Linked DNA regions of Stegostoma tigrinum. The protein of the gene in region 2 purifies or fractionates together with the protein of the main gene of each other region. This does not show direct contact. Links are inferred from orthologs where the notes say so. Each region holds a gene or a part of one and is shown on either strand. Other genes may lie near its edges. The genes, in order: uba6, usp48 and sirt6.

What was found.
Region 1: the proteins of usp48 (region 2) and uba6 fractionate together in Homo sapiens (co-fractionation; 3 studies listed by BioGRID, with this or other methods). This does not show direct contact. The link is inferred for Stegostoma tigrinum from reciprocal best matches to the Homo sapiens genes USP48 and UBA6.
Region 3: the proteins of usp48 (region 2) and sirt6 purify together in Homo sapiens (affinity purification with mass spectrometry; 3 studies listed by BioGRID, with this or other methods). This does not show direct contact. The link is inferred for Stegostoma tigrinum from reciprocal best matches to the Homo sapiens genes USP48 and SIRT6.

Annotation. Positions count from the first base shown.
Region 1 is NC_081356.1:17,087,810-17,095,685, forward strand, and holds the start of uba6 (ubiquitin-like modifier-activating enzyme 6), read right to left. Parts: upstream 3,001-7,876; 5' UTR 2,814-3,000; intron 1-2,813. UniProt on the Homo sapiens protein: Activates ubiquitin by first adenylating its C-terminal glycine residue with ATP, and thereafter linking this residue to the side chain of a cysteine residue in E1, yielding a ubiquitin-E1 thioester and free AMP.
Region 2 is NC_081381.1:45,487,457-45,494,399, reverse strand, and holds the start of usp48 (ubiquitin carboxyl-terminal hydrolase 48), read right to left. Parts: upstream 3,099-6,943; 5' UTR 2,934-3,098; coding exon 2,800-2,933; intron 1-2,799.
Region 3 is NC_081383.1:37,838,458-37,846,462, forward strand, and holds the start of sirt6 (NAD-dependent protein deacetylase sirtuin-6), read right to left. Parts: upstream 3,078-8,005; 5' UTR 3,021-3,077; coding exon 2,955-3,020; intron 1-2,954. UniProt on the Homo sapiens protein: NAD-dependent protein deacetylase, deacylase and mono-ADP-ribosyltransferase that plays an essential role in DNA damage repair, telomere maintenance, metabolic homeostasis, inflammation, tumorigenesis and aging.

The DNA.
Region 1 (7,876 bases), on a different chromosome or scaffold from region 2:
TGCTGCAGTCAGTGTGAGGGAGTGGTTTACACAGACTGTGTTGCAGTCAGTGTGAGGGAGTGGTTTACACAGACAATGTTGCAGTCAGTGTGAGGGAGTGGTTTACACAGACTGTGTTGCCGTCAGTGTGAGGGAGTGGTTTACACAGACAGTGTTGCAGTCAGTGTGAGGGAGTGGTTTACACAGACTGTGTTGGAGTCAGTGTGAGGGAGTGGTTTACACAGACTGTGTTGCAGTCAGTGTGAGGGAGTGGTTTACACAGACAGTGTTGCAGTCAGTGTGAGGGAGTGGTTTACACAGACTGTGTTGCCGTCAGTGTGAGGGAGTGGTTTACACAGACAGTGCTGCAGTCAGTGTGAGGGAGTGGTTTACACAGACAGTGTTGCAGTCAGTGTGAGGGAGTGGTTTACACAGACAGTGTTGCAGTCAGTGTGAGGGAGTGGTTTACACAGACAGTGTTGCAGTCAGTGTGAGGGAGTGGTTTACACAGACAGTGTTGCAGTCAGTGTGAGGGAGTGGTTTACACAGACAGTGTTGCAGTCAGTGTGAGGGAGTGGTTTACACAGTGTTGCAGTCAGTGTGAGGGAGTGGTTTACACAGACAGTGTTGCAGTCAGTGTGAGGGAGTGGTTTACACAGACAGTGTTGCAGTCAGTGTGAGGGAGTGGTTTACACAGACAGTGTTGCAGTCAGTGTGAGGGAGTGGTTTACACAGACAGTGTTGCAGTCAGTGTGAGGGAGTGGTTTACAATGACAGTGTTGCAGTCAGTGTGAGGGAGTGGTTTACACAGACAGTGTTGCCGTCAGTGTGAGGGAGTGGTTTACACAGACAGTGTCGCAGTCAGTGTGAGGGAGTGGTTTACACAGACAGTGTCGCAGTCAGCGTGAGGGAGTGGTTTACACAGACAGTGTCGCAGTCAGCGTGAGGGAGTGGTTTACACAGACAGTGTCGCAGTCAGTGTGAGGGAGTGGTTTACACAGACAGTGTTGCAGTCAGCGTGAGGGAGTGGTTTACACAGACAGTGTCGCAGTCAGCGTGAGGGAGTGGTTTACACAGACAGTGTCGCAGTCAGTGTGAGGGAGTGGTTTACACAGACAGTGTTGCAGTCAGTGTGAGGGAGTGGTTTACACAGACTGTGTTGCCGTCAGCGTGAGGGGATGTTTACACAGACCGTGCTGCGGCCAGTGTCAGGGGGGCTTACACAGACCGTGCTGCAGTCAGTGGGAGTTGGGGTAAAGGGGCTTGCACAGACCACACTACTGTCAGTCTGAGGGGGGTACACACTGACCATGTAGCAGTCAGTCTGAGGAGGCTTATACAGACTGTGCCACTGTCAGTGTGTTGGAGGGAGTTGACACTGACCGTGCAGTGGTCAGTCTGATGGGGGGGTTTTTGCAGACCGCGCCGTGGTCAGTGTGATGGGGGGGTTTTTGCAGACCGCGCCGTGGTCAGTGTGATGGGGGGGTTTTTGCAGACCGCGCCGTGGTCAGTGTGATGGGGGGGTTTTTGCAGACCGCGCCGTGGTCAGTGTGATGGGGGGGTTTTTGCAGACCGCGCCGTGGTCAGTGTGATGGGGGGGTTTTTGCAGACCGCGCCGTGGTCAGTGCGATGGCAGGTTTACACAGACCCTGCCACTTTCAGTGACAAGGGGGTATACACAGACTGCACTGCGGACAGTGAGGGGGGGGGTTACGCAAACTGTGTCGTGGTCAGTTACGGGGGAGGCTTACACAGACTGTGTCGCGGTCAGTTACGGGGGGGGGTTAACACAGACTGTGTCGCGGTCAGTTACGGGGGGGGGTTAACACAGACTGTGTCGCGGTCAGTTACGGGGGGGATTAACACAGACTGTGTCGCGGTCAGTTACGGGGGAGGCTTACACAGACTGTGTCGCGGTCAGTGACGGGGGAGGCTTACACAGACTGTGTCGCGGTCAGTGACGGGGGGGTTAACACAGACTGTGTCGCGGTCAGTTACGGGGGGGGGTTAACACAGACTGTGTCGCGGTCAGTTACGGGGGGGGGTTAACACAGACTGTGTCGCGGTCAGTTACGGGGGAGGCTTACACAGACTGTGTCGCGGTCAGTGACGGGGGGGGTTAACACAGACTGTGTCGCGGTCAGTGACGGGGGGGGGTGGAGAAGGGGGCTTACACAGACCGTGCTGTGGTCAGTGACGGGGTGGGGGGGGGGGTTAACACAGACTGTGTCGCGGTCAGTGACGGGGGGGGGGTTAACACAGACTGTGTCGCGGTCAGTGACGGGGGGGGTAACACAGACTGTGTCGCGGTCAGTGACGGGGGGGTTAACACAGACTGTGTCGCGGTCAGTTACGGGGGGGGGGGTGGAGAAGGGGGCTTACACAGACCGTGCCGCGGTGAGTGACGGGGGGGGGGGGGGGGGGGTTACACAGATCGTGCCACAGTCAGTGACAGGGGGGAGGGTTACACAGACCGTGCCGCGGTCAGTGACGGGGGGGGGGCGGAGGGTTACACAGACCGTGCCGCAGTCAGTGACGGGGGGGGTTACACAGACCGTGCCGCAGTCAGTGACGGGGCGGGGGGGGGCGGAAGATTACACAGACCGTGCCGCAGTCAGTGACGGGGGGGGGGGGGGGGCGGAAGATTACACAGACCGTGCCGCGGTGAGTGACGGGGGGGGGGGGGGTTACACAGACCGTGCCGCAGTCAGTGACGGGGGGGGGGGGGGGGGGGGGCGGAAGATTACACAGACCGTGCCGCGGTGAGTGTCAGCTGGTTACCGGTGCCGCCGGCGGTACCCACCTTCCCTTCCGTGCGTGCTTTGCTTACTCACCGTGATGCTCGGGACCTGTGAGGACAGAGTGAGCGGCTCGGGGCACTCTGTGGGTGAACACGGGAAGCACGCAGCTGCATCAGCCTCCCAGAGATGGAGATAGAGATGGCGGTGGTGATGCGGCCTTCACCGACAGGCCTCAAGACCGCGCCGTCAGCCCGAGCGGATCCTAACTGAAACGGTGACCTTTCACCCCGCCCCGCGCAGCCGCAAACACTTCCGGGCCAGCTGCCGTGTCCTGTCACGGGTTGGGAGTTACCTGCAGCATTGCAGAGATGGTCAATGACATTCATTCACTGTTCAGAGTACAAGCAAATAGCTAGCACCATACACAACAGGAATTTACTCCTTTAGGAATAGAAAGAACTGCAGATGCTGGAGCCAGAGACAACACAGTAGGCCAGGCAGCATCAGATCGTTCACATTTCAGGTTGGGACCTTTCCAGAAAGTTGACATTTTGCGTTGGGACCCTTCCAGAAAGTTGACATTTTGGGTGAAAGTTGACATTTTGCGTTGGGACCCTTCCAGAAAGTTGACATTTCGGGTTGGGACCCTTTCAGAAAATATCGTCTGATGCTGCCTGGCCTGCTCTGTTCCTCCAGGTCCATTCTGTGTTATCTCAGGAAACTAATCCTGTCCATTTAATGTACTCACACTCGTTCTACCAAGCAATCCCTCTAACATATTTCCATTTGGACATTAACTCTGTAACCTGAGAGAAATACAGATGTTGCTGGAGGAACTCAGCAGGTCCTGCTGCATCTGTGGACAGAGACCAGAGTCAACATTTCGAGTCTAGTTATCCTTCTCCAGAACTGATTTACTCCAGGGAAAGGAGTAATGTATAATAAATGCTGAGGGTATCTGAGTGAGCAGATAGGCAGAGATGGAGCCCAGAAAGGGAGAGAATGAAAGTTCTGGAGATAAAGGGATGGAATGATAGTCCATAAGAAGAAAGAAAAACTGATATTGGGGACCAAAAGACAGTGAAAAATGTGTTGGCTGTGCTGAAAGAACCCCATTTCATGATTGGGCCTGAGGTGTTGAGGGTGGATGAAGGACATGGAAGAAGGTGTTCAGGTTGTATAATTATTATTTGATATTGAATCCTAAAAGTTGTAGGGTGTCCAATCGGAAGATGTGATGCTATGGAATCTGATTCTTTCACTTTGAGATCATACAGTCCAAATTATTACAACTACCTCTGTCAAATGCTTCTTTTCATTTTGTCTCTAGATTTTTGAAAAAAAATTAAAAATCTCTAACTTCTGCACATTTCCAAATTGCTTGAGGAAGTGTTTAGTTTTGAATTAGTTCTTCCCGTTATCTTCAATGTCTGAATAATAACAGCGGCAGTATCATATGTTGTATCATTACATTTTCCGTAAAGATTCAGGAAATATTGAGGTGACCACATCACTGCTGCGCTACAGTCATGCCAAGCAACAAAAAAAAGTATTAATCTATTCACCACATGGAAATTTGAAGGAACAACACTGGATGAAGTTCCAGAATTTGAGTTGAACTCATTATTTTTAACTTGTAGGATTCAAAAGATATAATATTGGTAGAAGGATCTGCTAGTAAAAGCCTGGTTATTTTGACTACATGAGAAAACTAAATGTGATGGATTTTAAATAATTCTAACAGGTATCCATGTTATTGCAGTACCATCAGCAGCAGGTCAATTTTGTTGAAACATAATTGGCAATATCATAACTCTCCAACAGTTGGCCCAGTTTGGGAAAGTTAACTTTAATTTGTGTAAGAGTTCTTTAACTTGCAAGTAATTTACTAAAATTAAGTTAGAACTATACTCTTTTGTTTGTCTTATCTAGTAAGAGCACCTAGGTAAATGCATTTTATCAGGGATGAATTAGTTGATGCGTATGTATAGAAGATTTTGCAGGCAACACTGTGAAATCCTCTAAGAGTTTTTGTCTGTCTCAATAAGGTTGGCTTTCATTCTTCTATATTCCAAGGCTGGTGGGTGCAGGAAATGCTGGATGACTGGAGAAATTGAGGCTCTGATCAAGAAAAAGATGGAGGCATATGGCAGGTATAGACACCCAGGATTGAATGATTCCCAAGAGGTGTATAAGAACAGTAGGAATATATTTAAGGGAGAAATCAGGAGAGAAAATAGGGACATGAGGCAGCTTTATAAATAGTAATATCTTGAGAAGTGCCCAAATTACAGAAGAGGAGATACTAGAAATCTTAACATTCATATAGGTGGATAAGTCCCAGGACCTGATCAGATGTATCCCAGAATATTGTGGGAAACACCTGGTTGAGATATAACAATGGGTGATGTTCTGGAAGATTGGCTAATGTGGTGCCATTATTTAAGAAAGGTGGTAAAGAAAAGCCAGAGAACTATAGACGGGTGAGTCTGATATCAATGGTGGGCAAGTTGTTGGAGGGGATTCTGAGGTACAGGATTTACATGCATTTGGAAAGGTAAGGGCTGATTATGGATAGTCGGGGTGGCTTTGTGTGTGGGAAATTGTGTGTGGGAAATTATGTCTCACTAACTTAATATGTTTTTTGAAAAAGTGACAAGATTGATGAAAGCAGGGCAGAAAAGTGATGAACTTAGAGCATGGATCAGTACCTGGTGCTATGATGTTGTGGCCATAACAGAGACATGGGTTTCTCATGGGCAGGAATGGTTGCTGGATGTTCCAGGGTTTAGAACATTTAAAAAGAATAGGGAGGGGGGAAAAAGAGGAGGGGGTGTAGCACTACTAATCAGAGAGGGTATCACAGCTACAGAAGCTTCCTTTGTCGAGGAAGATCTGCCTACTGAGTCAGTATGGGTGGAAATTAGGAACAGCAAGGGAGTAGTCACCTCGTTAGGGGTTTACTACAGGCCCCCCAATAGCAGCAGGGAGATTGAAGAAAGCATAGGTCGACAGATTTTGGAAAAGTGTGCACGCAGTAGGGTTGTTGTAATGGGTGACTTTAACTTTCCTAATATTGATTGGAACCTCCTTTGAGCAGAAGATTTGAATGGAGCTGTTTTTGTAAGGTGTGTTCAGGAGGGTTTCCTAACGCAGTACGTTGACAGGCCGACGAGGGGAGAGGCCATTCTAGACTTGGTGCTCGGAAACGAGCCGGGGTAGGTATCAGATCTTGTGGTGGGAGAGCATTTTGGTGATAGTGACCATAACTGCCTCACATTCTACATAGCTATGGAGTAGGAGAGGATTAGGCAGAATGGGAGGATATTTAATTGGGGAAGAGGAAACTATGATGCAATTAGACATGAGTTAGGAAGCATGGACTGGGAGCAGTTGTTCCATGGTAAGGGAACTATAGACATGTGGAGACGGTTTAAGGAACAGTTGTTGGGAGTGATGAGTAAATATGTCCCTCTGAGACAGGCAAGAAGGGGTAAGATTAAGGAACCTTGGATGACGAGAGCGGTGGAGCTTCTAGTGAAAAGGAAGAAGGTAGCTTACATAAGGTGGAGGAAGCTAGGGTCAAGTTCAGCTAGAGAGGATTACATGCAGGCAAGGAAGGAGCTCAAAAATGGTCTGAGGAGAGCCAGGAGGGGGCACGAGAAAGGCTTGGCAGAAGGAATCCGGGAAAACACAAAGGCATTTTACACTTACGTGAGGAATAAGAGAATGGTCAAAGAAAGAGTAGGGCCGATCAGGGATAGCATAGGGAACTTGTGTGTGGAGCCTGAGGAGGTAGGGGAAGCCCTAAATGAGTTTTTTGCTTCTGTCTTTACGAAAGAAACGAACTTTGTAGTGAATGAAACCTTTGAAGAGCAGGTGTGCATGCTGGAATGGATAGAGATAGACGAAGCTGATGTGCTGAAAATTTTGTCAAACATTAAGATTGACAAGTCGCCAGGCCCGGATCAGATTTGTCCTCGGCTGCTTTGGGAAGCGAGAAATGCAATTGCTTCGCCACTTGCGAAGATCTTTGCATCCTCGCTCTCCACTGGAGTCGTACCTGAGGACTGGAGAGAGGCAAATGTAATTCCTCTCTTCAAGAAAGGAAATAGGGAAATCCCCGGCAATTATAGACCGGTAAGTCTCACGTCTGTCGTCTGCAAGGTGTTAGAAAGGATTCTGAGGGATAAGATTTATGACCATCTGGAAGAGCATGGCTTGATCAAATACAGTCAACACGGCTTTGTGAGGGGTAGGTCATGCCTTACAAACCTTATCGAGTTTTTTGAGGATGTGACTAGAAAAGTTGATGAGGGTCGAGCTGTGGATGTGGTGTATATGGACTTCAGTAAGGCATTTGATAAGGTTCCCCATGGTAGGCTCATTCAGAAGGTCAGGAAGAATGGGATACAGGGGAACTTAGCTGCTTGGATACAGAATTGGCTGGCCAACAGAAGACAGCGAGTGGTAGTAGAAGGAAAATATTCTGCCTGGAAGTCAGTGGTGAGTGGGGTTCCACAGGGCTCTGTCCTTGGGCCTCTACTGTTTGTAATTTTTATTAATGACTTAGACAAGGGAATTGAAGGATGGGTCAGCAAGTTTGCAGACGACACAAAGGTCGGAGGTGTCGTTGACAGTGTAGAGGGCTGTTGTAGGCTGCAGCGGGACATTGACAGGATGCAGAGATGGGCTGAGAGGTGGCAGTTGGAGTTCAACCTGGATAAATGCGAGGTGATGCATTTTGGAAGGTCGAATTTGAAAGCTGAGTACAGGATTAAGGATAGGATTCTTGGCAGCGTGGAGGAACAGAGGGATCTTGGTGTGCAGATACATAGATCCCTTAAAATGGCCACCCAAGTGGACAGGGTTGTTAAGAAAGCATATGGTGTTTTGGCTTTCATTAACAGGGGGATTGAGTTTAAGAGTCGTGAGATCTTGTTGCAGCTCTATAAAACTTTGGTTAGACCGCACTTGGAATACTGCGTCCAGTTCTGGGCACCCTATTATAGGAAAGATGTGGATGCTTTGGAGAGGGTTCAGAGGAGGTTTACCAGGATGCTGCCTGGACTGGAGGGCTTATCTTATGAAGAGAGGTTGACTGAGCTCGGTCTCTTTTCATTGGAGAAAAGGAGGAGGAGAGGGGACCTAATTGA
Region 2 (6,943 bases):
AGATATAAGCCAGATGGGACACTAGCAGTAAGATAAATCAACTTATGACAGGAATCACATTTGGCTGAGCAGCAAATATTTGAGTGTAAAAAATGCATTGTAATAAGCAGACAATCTGGATTTAAAACTATCCTGTTTAGCAGAAGTGAAGTACACAAATCTTAACTCATACAGAAATCCACTAATCATCTTTATCACCAGGAGTCACTCAGCTATACAAGAATAGAGGCTCTCAGCTGAAGAAGAGGTGACTTGCCCTTCATGTCTGTGCCAGCCTACTCTGACTTTCCTGCATTTGGTCCATAGGCCTGCACTGCATCTAGTCACCTTTCTGCTTCTACAGTGTGTTCCCATTCCCTTCCACCCTCTGGGTGGAAAAATCTCTTCATCTCCCTCAAATCTGTCTACTAACCACTTTAAAACCTACGCCCACTAATCACTGATTTCTCTGCTAAGAGCAAGAGACGCTTCCCCTTCATTCTATTCAGGCCCATCACAATTTTGCTTCTTGGAGTAACTGGTCATCTCAATCAAATCTCCCATTAGCCTCCCCCATTCCATGGTGCATAAGCCCAGACCATCCAAACTTTCCTTGCTGTTACATTTTCCCCAATTCCAGCAGTATCTTGTAAATCTCCACCAAAGCAATTACATCTCTTTCTATAACAAAGTGACCAGGCTTGTACACGGTACTCAAATTGTAGCCTATTAACAATTTGTACAGTTCTTGCACAGCACCACCCCCCTTCTGTGTTGGCTTCCAGTATGACAAAAGCTCACTTTTGAAATTCTCACCATCATCTTCAAATCCCTTCCTAGATGTTGTTGAGCACAGTGACAGAATGTCAGAACGAAAACAAGCCAGCTCAGCGAGCAAGTCAACAATCTCACGTAGGTCCTTCCATTCTCATTTGCTTCTACAACCCGGAGAACTGTGCACCTACAGTTCTGATTCTCTTGTTCCACGTTCAAAACTAACTCTCCTCCTGCAAGGTGCTCCCTAAAAAGGATCCTCCTTATATTTGGTCACCTAATCTAATATCTCAAACTCTGACTGCTTATCATGAGAGGACCTTGACGATTTTTATAAATCTGGAGGTATTAAAATATACATGTAAGTTGTTACAATCCAATTTCTCCAAAATTGCAACATTCAACAAAAAGTTTATTTCATTTTAATATTTCACTAAAGATTAAATGTATCATTTAAAATCAGGTCACTGGCTACTTTTCTACCAATTTGCAACTTCTATCTAATACATTTTATAAACAGTTTTACTATCTGCTCGGAATTCATTGCCCCAACTTATTTTCTGCAAATTTAGATCAAAATGCTTTGAGGTTCTGAACAATCTGTCAGAATGACAATATTGTTTCCAACAGCAAGCACCAATATATGAGGGGAGCTACTTTTCTCTGACATCCAGTCAGTAGCAACCTTACAGATGACAGACAACTTGGATTAAACAGCTACTGAACAGTTTTCACATTGCGTTTAATGGTGGCAAATCTGTCCTCTGAATAAAACAAGATTTGTACTGCACACAGACACACCATTGAGTAGCATACCAGGACGTCAACCTGGTTGTTCTGATTACTTAACAGAAGAAGACTCCCATTCTGAAAAGGTTATCTTTAAAAGTAACTCCAAAATTTTATCCTTAAGCACCAATATTTTGCATTTATTATTTTGTTAGCAATAACTTTTAAATGTCACCAAGTAGTGTAACCCTAAAAAAGTTATAATCTTGCATCAGATTTTCCAAACTTCAGGTCAGACATTGACAACTAGTCTCAAATGACAGCCTGCTAAATTGTCTTTTGGGCGGGTGAGGGGAGGGGGGGGGGGGGGGGGGCAGGAGTTGGTAGAGAAGGCGAAGAGATGGAAAGAAATACGTGACTTTTTTAGAAATCCAGTTTTACATCACAGATAACTAGTTGGGTGCGTAGAAACTATTATTGCAGAGAAGACAAGGGAGGTAGGGAAAAGCTCAAAGTGTAAAACTGAAATCAAGCCAACATGTCACCTTACAGGTCAAATGAGCCACTTTATGTATCCATTTAAATGAATTCAAAATACAGAAAAAAAAAGGTGTTATTGAAGCCTACCGTGCTTCTGCCACAGAGCTGTCTTATTACCTTCATACTCATGAAAATTTCCTCAGTTCCAGTAAAATATTTATTCAATTCTCTTAAATGTGAATGTTGAGACTGAATATACTTCTACTGTCCTCTTAGGCAGTGCAATCAAAATTTTAAGGAGACACATGAAAATCTGTTTCCTCACCATGGTAAACAAATCAGGGTAATCATCCATGTCCTTCCTCACCAGCTCTCCATTATTCCAAACAACCAAATAAAGTGAAGCAAATGCAATTTGCTTCTTGGAGTAATTGGCCCCAATAATGATTGTTAAGATAGCCACCTATACATCTGGGTCAAGTGGCATCAGCTACTGGCGAAAGACACCCTCTAAGTAAGAACGTGCCTGCACATTGATTAATTGACATCACCATGACCGTGTAATAAATGTGCACAGGAACGTGAGGTTCAGGGTCAGGAGGCGAGAAGGGTACAAGGGATTGGAGGGGCGGGTGGAAGAGCGAGCAGACAGTTAGGAAGTAAAGGAGAAGGCTGAGGCACGGGGTGATTCAGGGAGATTTTGTGGGGGTGTAGCTGGGGAAGGGATGGTTCAGAGGGTGGTGAGGGCGGACCAGGATGGACCTAGCGCCTTGGGCCGCCCCTTGCTCTAAAGCGGTGGTCAATGCGGCGACGCCCGCCTTCCCTCCCGGCCCTTACCTGCGGGCGTCCCTGCGGCAGGAACCGAGGCGGATGCGGTACGCCAGCTCAATATGCTCCTGCTTCACCTCGTCCGGCCTGATGCTCTCAGTCCACTGCCAGGCCGCCTTCTCTAGCTGCTGCTTGGGGGCCATAGGCGCCGCTCAGCCTGCGGCCGTGGTGTGGGGATTGTCCGCTCGCCGCGCCTCTCTGGTTCACTCTGCCCCCAAAGCCGGCCTAGCCTGGCCCGGTCCGGTCCCGCCGCGGCCTTCACTCCGAGCCCTAGGCCTGCTCCGCACCGCCAAGCAGCCGGGATCCTGACGTAGAACACACAGGAGCACAGATCCAAATGATGTCATAACTACTACGCGTAATGACGTAGGGCACACAGGCTGGAAACCTGTCTCAGTGTGCTCTTGTAGAAATGTATCTTTATTATGTTGCAGTCAGATTATACTCACCTGAACTTTATTGTAACACTCATGATCAGCTCTTATTTCGGTCCCTGAATCGTCTTTAGTCAGACAGTGGTGTAGAGACTTTCTAATCAACCTCCTAAAGATGTTATAACACATTTTGGACTTCATTTTCACTATCCCTTTCGAGCAGGACACGTTAAGATGAACATTCTGTACACGATTGCGGTAAGCACACAAGGAGCAAGATGGATGAATTTCAGGTACAAAATTCGGCTTAGAAGCAACGACATGGTAACTCTAGTTGAGACAGGCTAGGCTGCCAGATAGGAGATTTGTGAGAAAAGTTGGAGAGACGATGAACTTCAGTGACATAAATCGAGCTTAGTTGAGGAGAGACTACGTATCGGTTTTCACATTCACGTGGCTTGGTGTCCAAATAGGAAACATACTGTTTCAAACTGTTTTTGTTGGTATTGAACCAGGGGGCCCTTTTTTTAAAAAGATGTTTGGAAAAAGTGAAATGGCAACAGAATAGAAAATGTTTTACACAGCAAGTAGTTCACGTCTGAAATGTACTGCCCAAGAGTGTTTGGGTGGGGAAGGGGTGATCTGATGCAACCAATACAATCAAAAGAAAAGGCAATGGAGAAGAGTAGTTTAGTCCAACGAGGTGAGCAGTTGCCTGTATAGGGAGGTGGCACAGAGTCATCAGACCAAATTCCTTTTGTGCGGTAATCATTCTGTGATTCTACAACTCAGAACTAAATACAGCAAGTGTAAGATTTACAGGAAACCCAGGGAAAACTATAGTAAAGTGTTGCCTTTGTGGTTAAGGGTGAAGTTGCTTCAACTATGAGAGGGGGGGGGGACAAATGGCAGGAAGTAAGCAGGTAATGGCGATAATATTAGTAGAATTAAGAAATAGTAAAGGATTTAAGACTGTAGTGGGAGGCGTGCGCAGGCCTCAAAAAGCATCCGTGGGTTGGTGCAATCACTTGTACCAAAAGCTCTGAACATATCAAATACCAAACAGGACAGACCACCCGCATGTTGTGGTTGGTTGGTTGGCTCGCTGAGCTGGTTTGTTGCTGTGCAGACACTTTATTAACCTGCTGGGTAACATCATCAGTGCAGCCTCCGATGAATGGAGTGTATATGGGGGTCAAGCTCCTTGTGTTTGTTGATGGCTTTCTACACTCCATTCTGAAGGAAAACTAGAAGTGAGGTAATCTAGCTCAACAAACTCCACAGTTTAAATATCAGGTGGGAAAACACAACGACGCTTCATCGGAGGCTGCACTGATGATGTTACCCAGCAGGGTAACGAAACATCTACAGAACAACAAACCAGCTCAGAGAGCCAACCAACCACAACATCCACAACCCAAGCTACAAATCTACTGTAAAGCCTTATACGCCCAACGTCATCCCAGACAAGTTACACCCAGCCCAGTCATCCTTAAAAGTGTACCTCCCTAACTCTGAAGACACAAAACTGGGGATGCTAATCCATAGATTAGGCAAGCAAGAATCTCACAGTTGCAATCATCAAATCATCATACCTTACAACTGATATCTCAGGCTTTTCCATTTGCAACCCTGAGTACATTTGGTTCCACCAAAAAGACAGACTTTGATTTTTATTTGGTTTATTATAGTCACATGTACCTAGGTATAGTGAAAACTTTGTTTTACTTACAGTACAGGCATATCATACCATACAAAGTGCATTAGGGTAGTAGTAAAGACGAAGGAACACAATGTTACAGCTGCAGAGAAGGTGCACAAAGAATGAGATCAACATTAAATTCAAGATTTTAGAGGCCACTTCAGAAGTCCCATAACAGCGGGGAAGAAGCTGTTCTTGAATCTATTGGTGCATGTTTAAGCCTTTGTATCTTCTGCCTGACAGAAGAAGTTGGAAGAGATTATAACCAGGGTGGGAGGGGTCTTTGATTATATTGGCTATGGGAATCCACCAAGAAATTAAAGATTTGAGGACAAAGGAATCGGGGAGCCAACTTTCTACTAGCTAAAGTCATATCCAGAACAAGCAAGATGGTCGAAGGCCAAATCAATTGAAAATGGTCACTGACTAATCGACTTGTTTAGCTCAATTTGGGACTCAATACATACTTAAGCAGTTTGTGCCACGTGCAGCATATGCCAGACAACATTCAGGCTTGGGATATCACAAATGGCATTAAAGTTCCAGGAAGTGAGCATCTCCACAAGAAGAAATCTAATCATCTGCCCCTTGCACTCAATGACATTGTCCTGTTTTAATTCTACTATCAATAATATAGGGGTTAGCATTGACCAAAAGCGGAATTGGACCAGCACATAAATATTGCAGCCAAAAGAACAGGTCAGGAGAGAAGAATTCTACGATAAAAGTGACTCACCTCCTGACTGTCTAGAGCCTGTCTACCATCTATATTAAAAGAAACAAGAGTATTAGGCTGATGTATTATTTAATTGCAGGTCCAGCAACACTCAAGAAATGCCAAAATTATCCAGAACAAAATGGCCTACTTAATCCACCACCAAGCATTCACTCCCTCCACTATCAATGTACAATAGCAGCCGTGTATGCCATCTGCCCAGGTACGCTGTAGCAACTCACCAAAGCACCTTCAAAACCTGCAACATCTACCAGAAGGACAAGGGCAGCGGATAGAATACCACTGAATAGAAATTCCACTTCAAGCCACACACTGAGGAATGATATCAGCATTTTCTTCATTGTTAGAATTAGATTTTGTTGTAACATGCATTCAAGTCCAAATACAGAAGTATGGCGAAAAGTTGCCATAGTTTGTCACCATCTTAAACTGCAAAATACAAAACCAAAGTTTCTAGATTTAAAATCTTGTCTCCCTAGGCCTTGCCCTGTCACTGGGTCAACATACTGGAACAATCCTGAAATCATTGTGCATTATGTGTATAGGAGAAAATACCTTTGTTTTTAGAAGGTGGGCATGACATCACCACGAGGGCTTTATTATGATTGGGGGAGAGATGGCGGGATGGGTCCTTTTGTTCCATCTTTCCATTAGCTACAAAAAAGGGTGTGTTTTAAAGATGAGGTGTTTTAACTCCTTGTGTGCAATGACTTCCAAGAATGGATACAAAACATGCTTTGTCATAAGATTTCATTAAAATACGTAATCATTTATTTTTCTCAACACAAGAAATAAGACCATAACAACACAGTTGCTACAAATGAGGTTGCCTACTCAAAGATGTTGTCCAAAAAGTCACTTTTACCAGTAGTCTTCAAGACAACAGCCAAAAACATTGCAGGCCTGAGGATTCTCCCCGGTTCACTGAAGACAGTAGAGGTTGGTGACAAATGCACAGTGGCCTACTTCTGCAATTCAGTAGATACAAAAATAATCCCATCCTGGGATGAAGATACACAGAGGTGTTGGGGGAATCACACCCAAGAAACCTGTGAAAATTCCACCACAGGGTCACACAATCCAAGAGACCTCAATCTCCCACTCTCATACATAGGAGATACACAAGCTATGAAACCCTGTTTCTCCAATCTCAGGATCTTTCTCATCTGCATTTGCTGCTGATAGGTTCAACTGTCTACCTATTACCAACAAATATGGGAGAGAACTGGCCTGTAATTGGAGAAGCATATGTGGTGTGTGCTACCAACTGCAAGCTGCATTTGGCCTTGAAGTTGTGGTTGTTTACTATTACTATTTACTATTGTATAGAGAGAAGAACTA
Region 3 (8,005 bases), on a different chromosome or scaffold from region 2:
TCAGTTTTGTTAGGAAATTGTCAGTATGCTCATCAGATTCTGTCTCGGGCCTTAAATTCACACTGATAAATCCAATGTTTTGACTCCGGATAAAAATACATGCCAAATCTAAAAAAAATTGTGTTGGGGTTTCTGCTGTCATCCTCAATCTTCAACTATTAAACAATTTAACCTTTCTCTCCTGCCTGCAGGTTCCTTCATTTTTGCTAGTGCCTTTAGAGAGGTGCTGAATATCAGTCTGCACTTTCGTTCAAATTTCTCAGATGCATCTTCAAATGGGGCACATTTAATTGAAGTTTGAATGCCACCCATATCGTTGCTGTTACAGCCATTCCGTTTTCTGACAACAATTTAGTTTTTCCACACACTCTGGTACAAATGTAGGATGACTTCTTCTTCCAATTAATTCAGCACAAAATTCATTTAAAATATTTCAGTTTTCACTAACAAACAACCACTGCCACCATGTCATGCATTCCAGTGCCAGTAAATTAAAATAATCTCACTTTAGATCAGTACTAGTGTTTCACTGAGTGCATTTTTTGCTGCTCTCCATAGCGGACTGCGACCAATACATTGTTACTTTGCAATGTAACTGCAGTGCAGAAGTGAAATGTGACAGAGGAACAGGAGTAGATCAGTCAGTCAACTAAGACTGCTCTGCCAATCAACTCAATCATGACCAATTATCTACAGAGGTGTTACTTTTCCACACAATGCCAGTTTTCAGAAATCGATTTCTGCTTTAAACTGCTCAATGACTCTGGGGAAGAGAATTCCAAAGATCCAACATTGTCAGTGGAAAAAAAAGTGCTCCTCATCTCAATCTTATTTGGCCTGCCCCCTATTTGAGATAACATCCTCTGATTTTGGACTCATCAGGCAGAGGGAGCATCCTCTCTATAGCAACAATGCCGTGCCCTGTAATTTATTTTGTGAATTTGAAAGAAATCACCTCTCATCCCTTCAAACTCTAGGGACTAAAGATCCTGTTTCTGCAGGCTCTCTTCATAAAACAATCCCACCATTGCAACAATTAATCAGGTTAACCTCTATTGCACATCTAAGGAAGGATTTACTTTACGTAGAAAAGCCAAACAGAACTGTACACAATAACCAGGGTGTGTACATGCCAAGGCTCCATAAAATAGCAGGAAGACATTTTTACTATTGTTAATGTTTTGGGTCCAGTGGCCCTTCCTCAGACTGGACCCAAAACGATGACTCTCATTTTTCTTCACACATGCTGCTAGACTTGCTGAGCTTCCAACAACTTCTCTTTTTGTTCCTGATTTACAGCATCTGCAGTTCTTTTAGTTTTACTTTGCTTTTGTCCTTAAGTTTATTTGTTATGAAGACTAATATTCTATTTGCTTTTAAAATACTTGTTTCACCAGCATGCTAGCTCTTAGTAACCAAAGATACCTAGATCACTCCTTCCCAATCACATAATGATCATCCTGCCTTTCAGCTTTTCAATCAAACTCAATACTTTCATAAAGTTCTACTATATTCCATCTGGCATGTTCGCTTAGATTGTCGAAATTCCCTTGAAGGCTTCACACAACTTACATTTTCATTACATTCAGCATCATGAGCAAATTTGGAAACATTGAAACTGGTCCCCATATCCAAATAACAAAGTGTGGATGAACACAGCAGACCAAGCAGCACCTTAGGAGCTCAAAAGCTGACGTTTCGGGCCTAGACCCTTCATCAGAGAGGGGGATGGGGAGAGGGTTCTGAAATAAATAGGGAGGGGGGAGGAAGGCAGACTGAAGATGGATAGAGGAGAAGATAGGTGGAGAGGAGAGTATAGGTGGGGAGGGTATAGGTCAGTCCAGGAAGGACAGACAGGTCAAGGAGGTGGGATGAGATTGGTAGATGGGAAATGGAGGTGCGGCTTGAAGTGAGAGGAGGGGTAGGTGAGAGGAAGAACAGGTTAGGGAGGCGGGGAACGAGCTGGGCTGGTTTTGTGATGCAGTGGGGGGAGGGGACGAGCTGGGCTGGTTTCGGGATGCAGTCGGGGAGGGGGAGATTTTGAAGCTTGTGAAGTCAACATTGATACCATCCGGCTGCAGGGTTCCCAAGCGGAATATGAGTTGCTGTTCCTGCAAACTTCGGTTGGCATCATTGTGGCACTGCAGGAGCCCCATGATGGAAATTTTGTGTGAGGAATGGGAGGGGGAGTTAAAATGGTTTGCAACTGGGAGGTGCAGTTATTTATTGCGAACTGAGCGGAGGTGTTCTGCAAAGCGGTCCCCAAGACTCCGCTTGGTTTCCACAATGTAGAGGTAGCCACACCGGGTACAGTGGATACAGTATACCACGTTGGCAGTTGTGTAGGTGAACATCTGCTTAATATGCTTGGCCTGCTGTGTTCATCCAACTCCACACTTTGTTATCTTGGATTCTCCAGCACCTGTAGTTCCCATTATCTCTGCTTACTCTTCAGCCTTCTATTAAGCCATTTTCCATCCAAATTATTTTATTCCCACCCATCCCCAATACTACATACTCTAATTTCATTTGCTAATCTCTTGGTACTCCAGAATATATATCCATGTAACATAGATCGTTCTCTTTCAGATTAATAAAGCAATGAAACCAAACCCTTACAGGGACATCTGTGATGTCCACCATCACTAGCAACCTCCCTCTCCCAATCCACGGCCGCCTCCAACGTTAAGAGGGTCCCCACACAGTGGAATCTCCTCGGTCCTTTTCTCCTTCACCCCCTCCCGCATCCCCGCCTGCCCTCCCTCACTGATCTTCGCCTCCTCTTCCCGTTCCTCTGGGGGTCCCGGCCAAACAGTCTCTAACGAAGGCCCCAGTCCGGAGCTGGACGCCGAGGTCTCATGACCCCGGCGCCTCCCCAGGATGCGAGCCTATCCAAGGACAGGCCCGGAATCCTTTTCCCCCTGCAACGACATCTAAGCGGCACAGCCTCTTACCTCCGGAAGGCCACACTTGCCCTTGTGTTCGTACTCAGACAGTCCGGCCGCGTAGTTCACGGACATGGCTCCAGCACAACAACCCGGGCAGGGGCCTGCGTGACGTCACCAGGCCGTGCAGGCAGGACCTCCCGGAGGCCAGAGGGCGCTACAGAACAGGTGATAGGTAGCTTCGGGGGAGGAGAGGCGGGTGGGAGGCGCAGGTCGGAATGGGCATGGAGTAGGAGGGACCGGACAGAGAAACGGGGATGGTGCTGGGTGCGAGAGCGAGAGGAGAACAGTGCTGGGGGTGGGGTGACAGTGCTGGAGGGAAGCAATGCTGGGGAAGGTCATGAGGGGGAGCAATGCGCGTGTGCACAAGGCTGGGGGAGTGAAAAAGGCAGGGGGTGAACAAGGCTGGGGGGGGGGCAGGGGGTGAACGAGGCTGGGGGGGGGGCAGGGGGTGAACGAGGCTGGGGGGGGGGCAGGGGGTGAACGAGGCTGGGGGGGGGGCAGGGGGTGAACGAGGCTGGGGGGGGGGCAGGGGGTGAACGAGGCTGGGGGGGGGGCAGGGGGTGAACGAGGCTGGGGGGGGGGCAGGGGGTGAACGAGGCGGGGGGGGGCAGGGGGTGAACGAGGCGGGGGGGGGGGGGGGGGGGCAGGGGGTGAACGAGGCGGGGGGGGGGGGGGGGGGGGGCAGGGGGTGAACGAGGCGGGGGGGGGGGGGGGGGGGGCAGGGGGTGAACGAGGCGGGGGGGGCGGGGGGGGGGGGGCAGGGGGTGAACGAGGCGGGGGGGGGGGGGGGGGGGGGGCAGGGGGTGAACGAGGCGGGGGGGGGGGGGGGGGGCAGGGGGTGAACGAGGCGGGGGGGGGGGGGGGGGGCAGGGGGTGAACGAGGCGGGGGGGGGGGGGGGGGCAGGGGGTGAACGAGGCGGGGGGGGGGGGGGGGGGGGCAGGGGGTGAACGAGGCGGGGGGGGGGGGGGGGGGGCAGGGGGTGAACGAGGCGGGGGGGGGGGGGGGGGGGGCAGGGGGTGAACGAGGCGGGGGGGGGGGGGGGGGGGCAGGGGGGTGAACGAGGCGGGGGGGGGGGGGGGGCAGGGGGTGAACGAGGCGGGGGGGGGCAGGGGGTGAACGAGGCGGGGGGGGGGGGGGGGGCAGGGGGTGAACGAGGCGGGGGGGGGGGGGCAGGGGGTGAACGGGGCAGGGGGTGAACGAGGCGGGGGGGGGGGGCAGGGGGTGAACGAGGCGGGGGGGGGGCAGGGGGTGAACGAGGCGGGGGGGGGGGGGGCAGGGGGTGTGAACGAGGCGGGGGGGGGGGCAGGGGGTGAACGAGGCGGGGGGGGGGGGGCAGGGGGTGAACGAGGCGGGGGGGGGGGGGGGGGCAGGGGGTGAACGAGGCGGGGGGGGGGGGGGGGCAGGGGGTGAACGAGGCGGGGGGGGTGGGGGGGTGAACGAGGCGGGGGGGGGGGGGGGGGCAGGGGGTGAACGAGGCGGGGGGGGGGGGCAGGGGGTGAACGGGGCAGGGGGTGAACGAGGCGGGGGGGGGGGGCAGGGGGTGAACGAGGCGGGGGGGGGGGCAGGGGGTGAACGAGGCGGGGGGGGGGGGGGCAGGGGGTGAACGAGGCGGGGGGGGGGGCAGGGGGTGAACGAGGCGGGGGGGGGGGGGGCAGGGGGTGAACGAGGCGGGGGGGGGGGGGGGGGGCAGGGGGTGAACGAGGCGGGGGGGGGGGGGGGGGCAGGGGGTGAACGAGGCGGGGGGGGGGGGGCAGGGGGTGAACGAGGCTGGGGGGGGGGGCAGGGGGTGAACGAGGCTGGGGGTCAACAGTGCTGGGGAAGCGGGGGTGCAACGGAACTGAGGGGAGCAATGCTGGGGAGGGTCGAGGAGGGGAACAATGCTGAGGAAGGTCGGTGGAGGCCAATGCTGTGGAAGATTGGGTGGGGTGAACGAGGCTGGGGGGGGGGGGCAGGGGGTGAACGAGGCTGGGGGGTGAACGAGGCTGGGGGGGGGGGGCAGGGGGTGAACGAGGCTGGGGGGGGGGGCAGGGGGTGAACGAGGCTGGGGGGGGGGCAGGGGGTGAACGAGGCTGGGGGGCGGGGCAGGGCAGGGGGTGAACGAGGCTGGGGGGGGGGCAGGGGGTGAACGAGGCTGGGGGGGGGGGCAGGGGGTGAACGAGGCTGGGGGGGGGGGCAGGGGGTGAACGAGGCTGGGGGGGGGGGCAGGGGGTGAACGAGGCTGGGGGTCAACAGTGCTGGGGAAGCGGGGGTGCAACGGAACTGAGGGGAGCAATGCTGGGGAGGGTCGAGGAGGGGAACAATGCTGAGGAAGGTCGGTGGAGGCCAATGCTGTGGAAGATTGGGTGGGGGGCATAATGCTACGGAAGGTGGGGTTGGAACAATGCTTGGGAAGGTCCATGTTGGGGGATCAATGCTGGGGAAGGTCCGTGTTGGGGGAACAATGCTGGGGAAGGTCGGGTGGAGGGGTAACAATGCTGGGGAAGGTCCGTGTTGGGGGAACAATGCTGGGGAAGGTCGGGTGGAGGGGTAACAATGCTGGGGAAGGTCCGTGTTGGGGGAACAATGCTGGGGAAGGTCGGGTGGAGGGGGAACAATGCTGGGGAAGGTCGGGTGGAGGGGGAACAATGCTGGGGAAGGTCCTTGGTGGGGGAACAATGCTGAGGAAGGTTGGGTGGGGGGGTAACAATGCTGGGGAAGATCCATGGTGGGGAAACAATGCTGGGGAAGGTCCTTGGTGGGGGAACAATGCTGAGGAAGGTTGGGTAGGGTAACAGTGCTGGGGAAGGTCGGGTGGTGGGTAATCATGCTGGGGAAGGTTCATGTTGCGCGAACAATGCCGGGGAAGATTGGATGGTGGGGAAACAATGCTGGGGAAGATTCATGGTGGCGGAACAATGCTGGGGAAGGTCGGGGAACAATGCTGGGGAAGATCCGTGGCAGAGGAACAATGTTGGGGAAGGTCGGGTTGGGGGTAACAAATGCTAGAGAAGGTCGAGGGGGGCAGAACTGGATCATGCTGGTGAATATCGAGGGAGGGGGAAGATGCAGTGTGGGGGAATATTGGGGAGGGAGGTGTAATGCAGGGGAGAGTCATGGGAGCACAGTGCAGAGAACGGTTGGGGGAGGGGGGTTGCAATGCTGGGGAGGTCGGTGTGGGGAGCTCAGTGAGGGGAAGGGTCAGGGACGGGGGGTGCAGTGTGGGCAGGGTTAGGGGACGGTTGGGGGAGGGGCGTTGCAATGCTGGGGAGGGTCGGAGTTGGGGGCGTACAATGCCGGGGAGGGTCTGAGGAAGGGGATGCTGAGTAAGGAGACGGGAAGCTGGGGAAAGTGGAGGTGGGAATAGAGAGGAAATGGGTCTGAGGGCAGGGGAATGGAGAGAAAGTGGAAGGGCTGTGGTGAGAGGTCTGGGGAGGCCTGGAGGGAGGCTGACGAGGGAGAATGGACAGAGAGTGCGATGTAGGGGATGAACTGGCAGGGAATGGTCTGAGGGGAGCTGAGGAGAGGGGCAGAATGCAAGGAGACATTCAGATCATCACCTCTGAATTAATTAACCCCACTCCTCTTCATTAAATTGAAGCTCCTTATTCCTGGTACCATTCTCTTAAATCCCTCCTGTAACCTCTCCTCGGACTTGGCACCTGTCATAAAGTGTGTTGACTGGAATTTATAACATGCTCGAAACACACAGGAGTGTGGATGAATCTGCGTTTAAAAATTCCAAGTTGCTGTGAGAAAGGAGTTTGGGAGGTGACGGACAATGTGTGGAGGGGGAGATCTCTATAGGTCAGGTAATTGGGGAGAGGTCGGCAGAGACAATGGGGATAGATGCAGTAGTCCAAAGGGGCTGGAAAGAGCTGAGGAGCCTGCAGGCTGAAAGTGAGATGGGAGGGAGAAGCTATAGTGTGAGAAGTGCTTAGGACAAAGATGCTGCCAGGAGTGTGGATGGTTGGTGGAGGGTGAGAAATGGAAATTAATTGGGATGCAAGAGGAAGAGAGGAGCTGGAGAAGTAGGCAGGCAAGAATGAGTGAGTCTGAAAGGGTAAAAACAGAGAGAGAGAGACTGCAAAGAAGAACAGTTTCAAACTTGTCAACAAAGGAACAGACAGCTAACTGGGAGCCCGGGAAATTTGAAATCACTGAGGTAATGAATGATTTGCAAATGAATGAAGTGTCCACGACAAGGCTGGATATGTACAGGAGTTACTGTCTGAAAAAGATTGTCAAGGACTGTATTGTAGTGAACACCATGTCAATTATTAAATTTAAATCTGTGATACTGAAACTGCTTGGTTGAAATATTCCAGTTTTGCGAGCTTGTGATGGAAACTCATTGTGTGACCTCTCCAGTCTCCAGAATGTGTTTGTTAGGTTAATGGCTTCTTGCCTATAGAACTGTGTCACTTATTTTGAAAAACTTCAACTAAATTTGTGTTGTCTTTTGTTATTTAAATACTGCAGTGTCTAATAAATTAATGTTTCCCTATGTGTTGTGTCTTTAAGTTTAGTGAAGGTGATAGTAATGTCAGAAGGCTAAGTTGAGGTTAACTGAGGAATGTCTGTGTGATTGCCCACTGATTCTCCAAGTGACAGTCCGTGGGAGGAGCTAACAGAGACGGAGAATTGTATAGCACAGAAACAGACCCTTTTCAGTTTAAATCTTCCAGATATCTGATCAGATATCTTAATCTAGTCCCATTTGGCTGAAAGCAAAGTACTGTGTTATGTTGGAGATATGAAATAAAAATAGAAAGTACTGGAGCTTCACAGCAGGTATCATCATTTATGCGGAGAGAAAGTTAGGGTTAGACTTTTGTCAACGTTAACTTTGGGCTGAATCTTTCCATATGTTGACTGTCATTTTCAATGACTTTCATGGAGCATTTCTCTCCATTGCGTCGACTGAAATTTCCCATGCACGTGTCCCAAGTATGACGCGTTATTTGCCTAACCCTAACCAAGCCCCTAAGCTGCTGCTATTGTCCAATAGTAGCCTGCCTTTCTCACTTGATGTTGCTGGAAGAACTCACTGATACCAGAATTCCCTGGCATCTCTGGC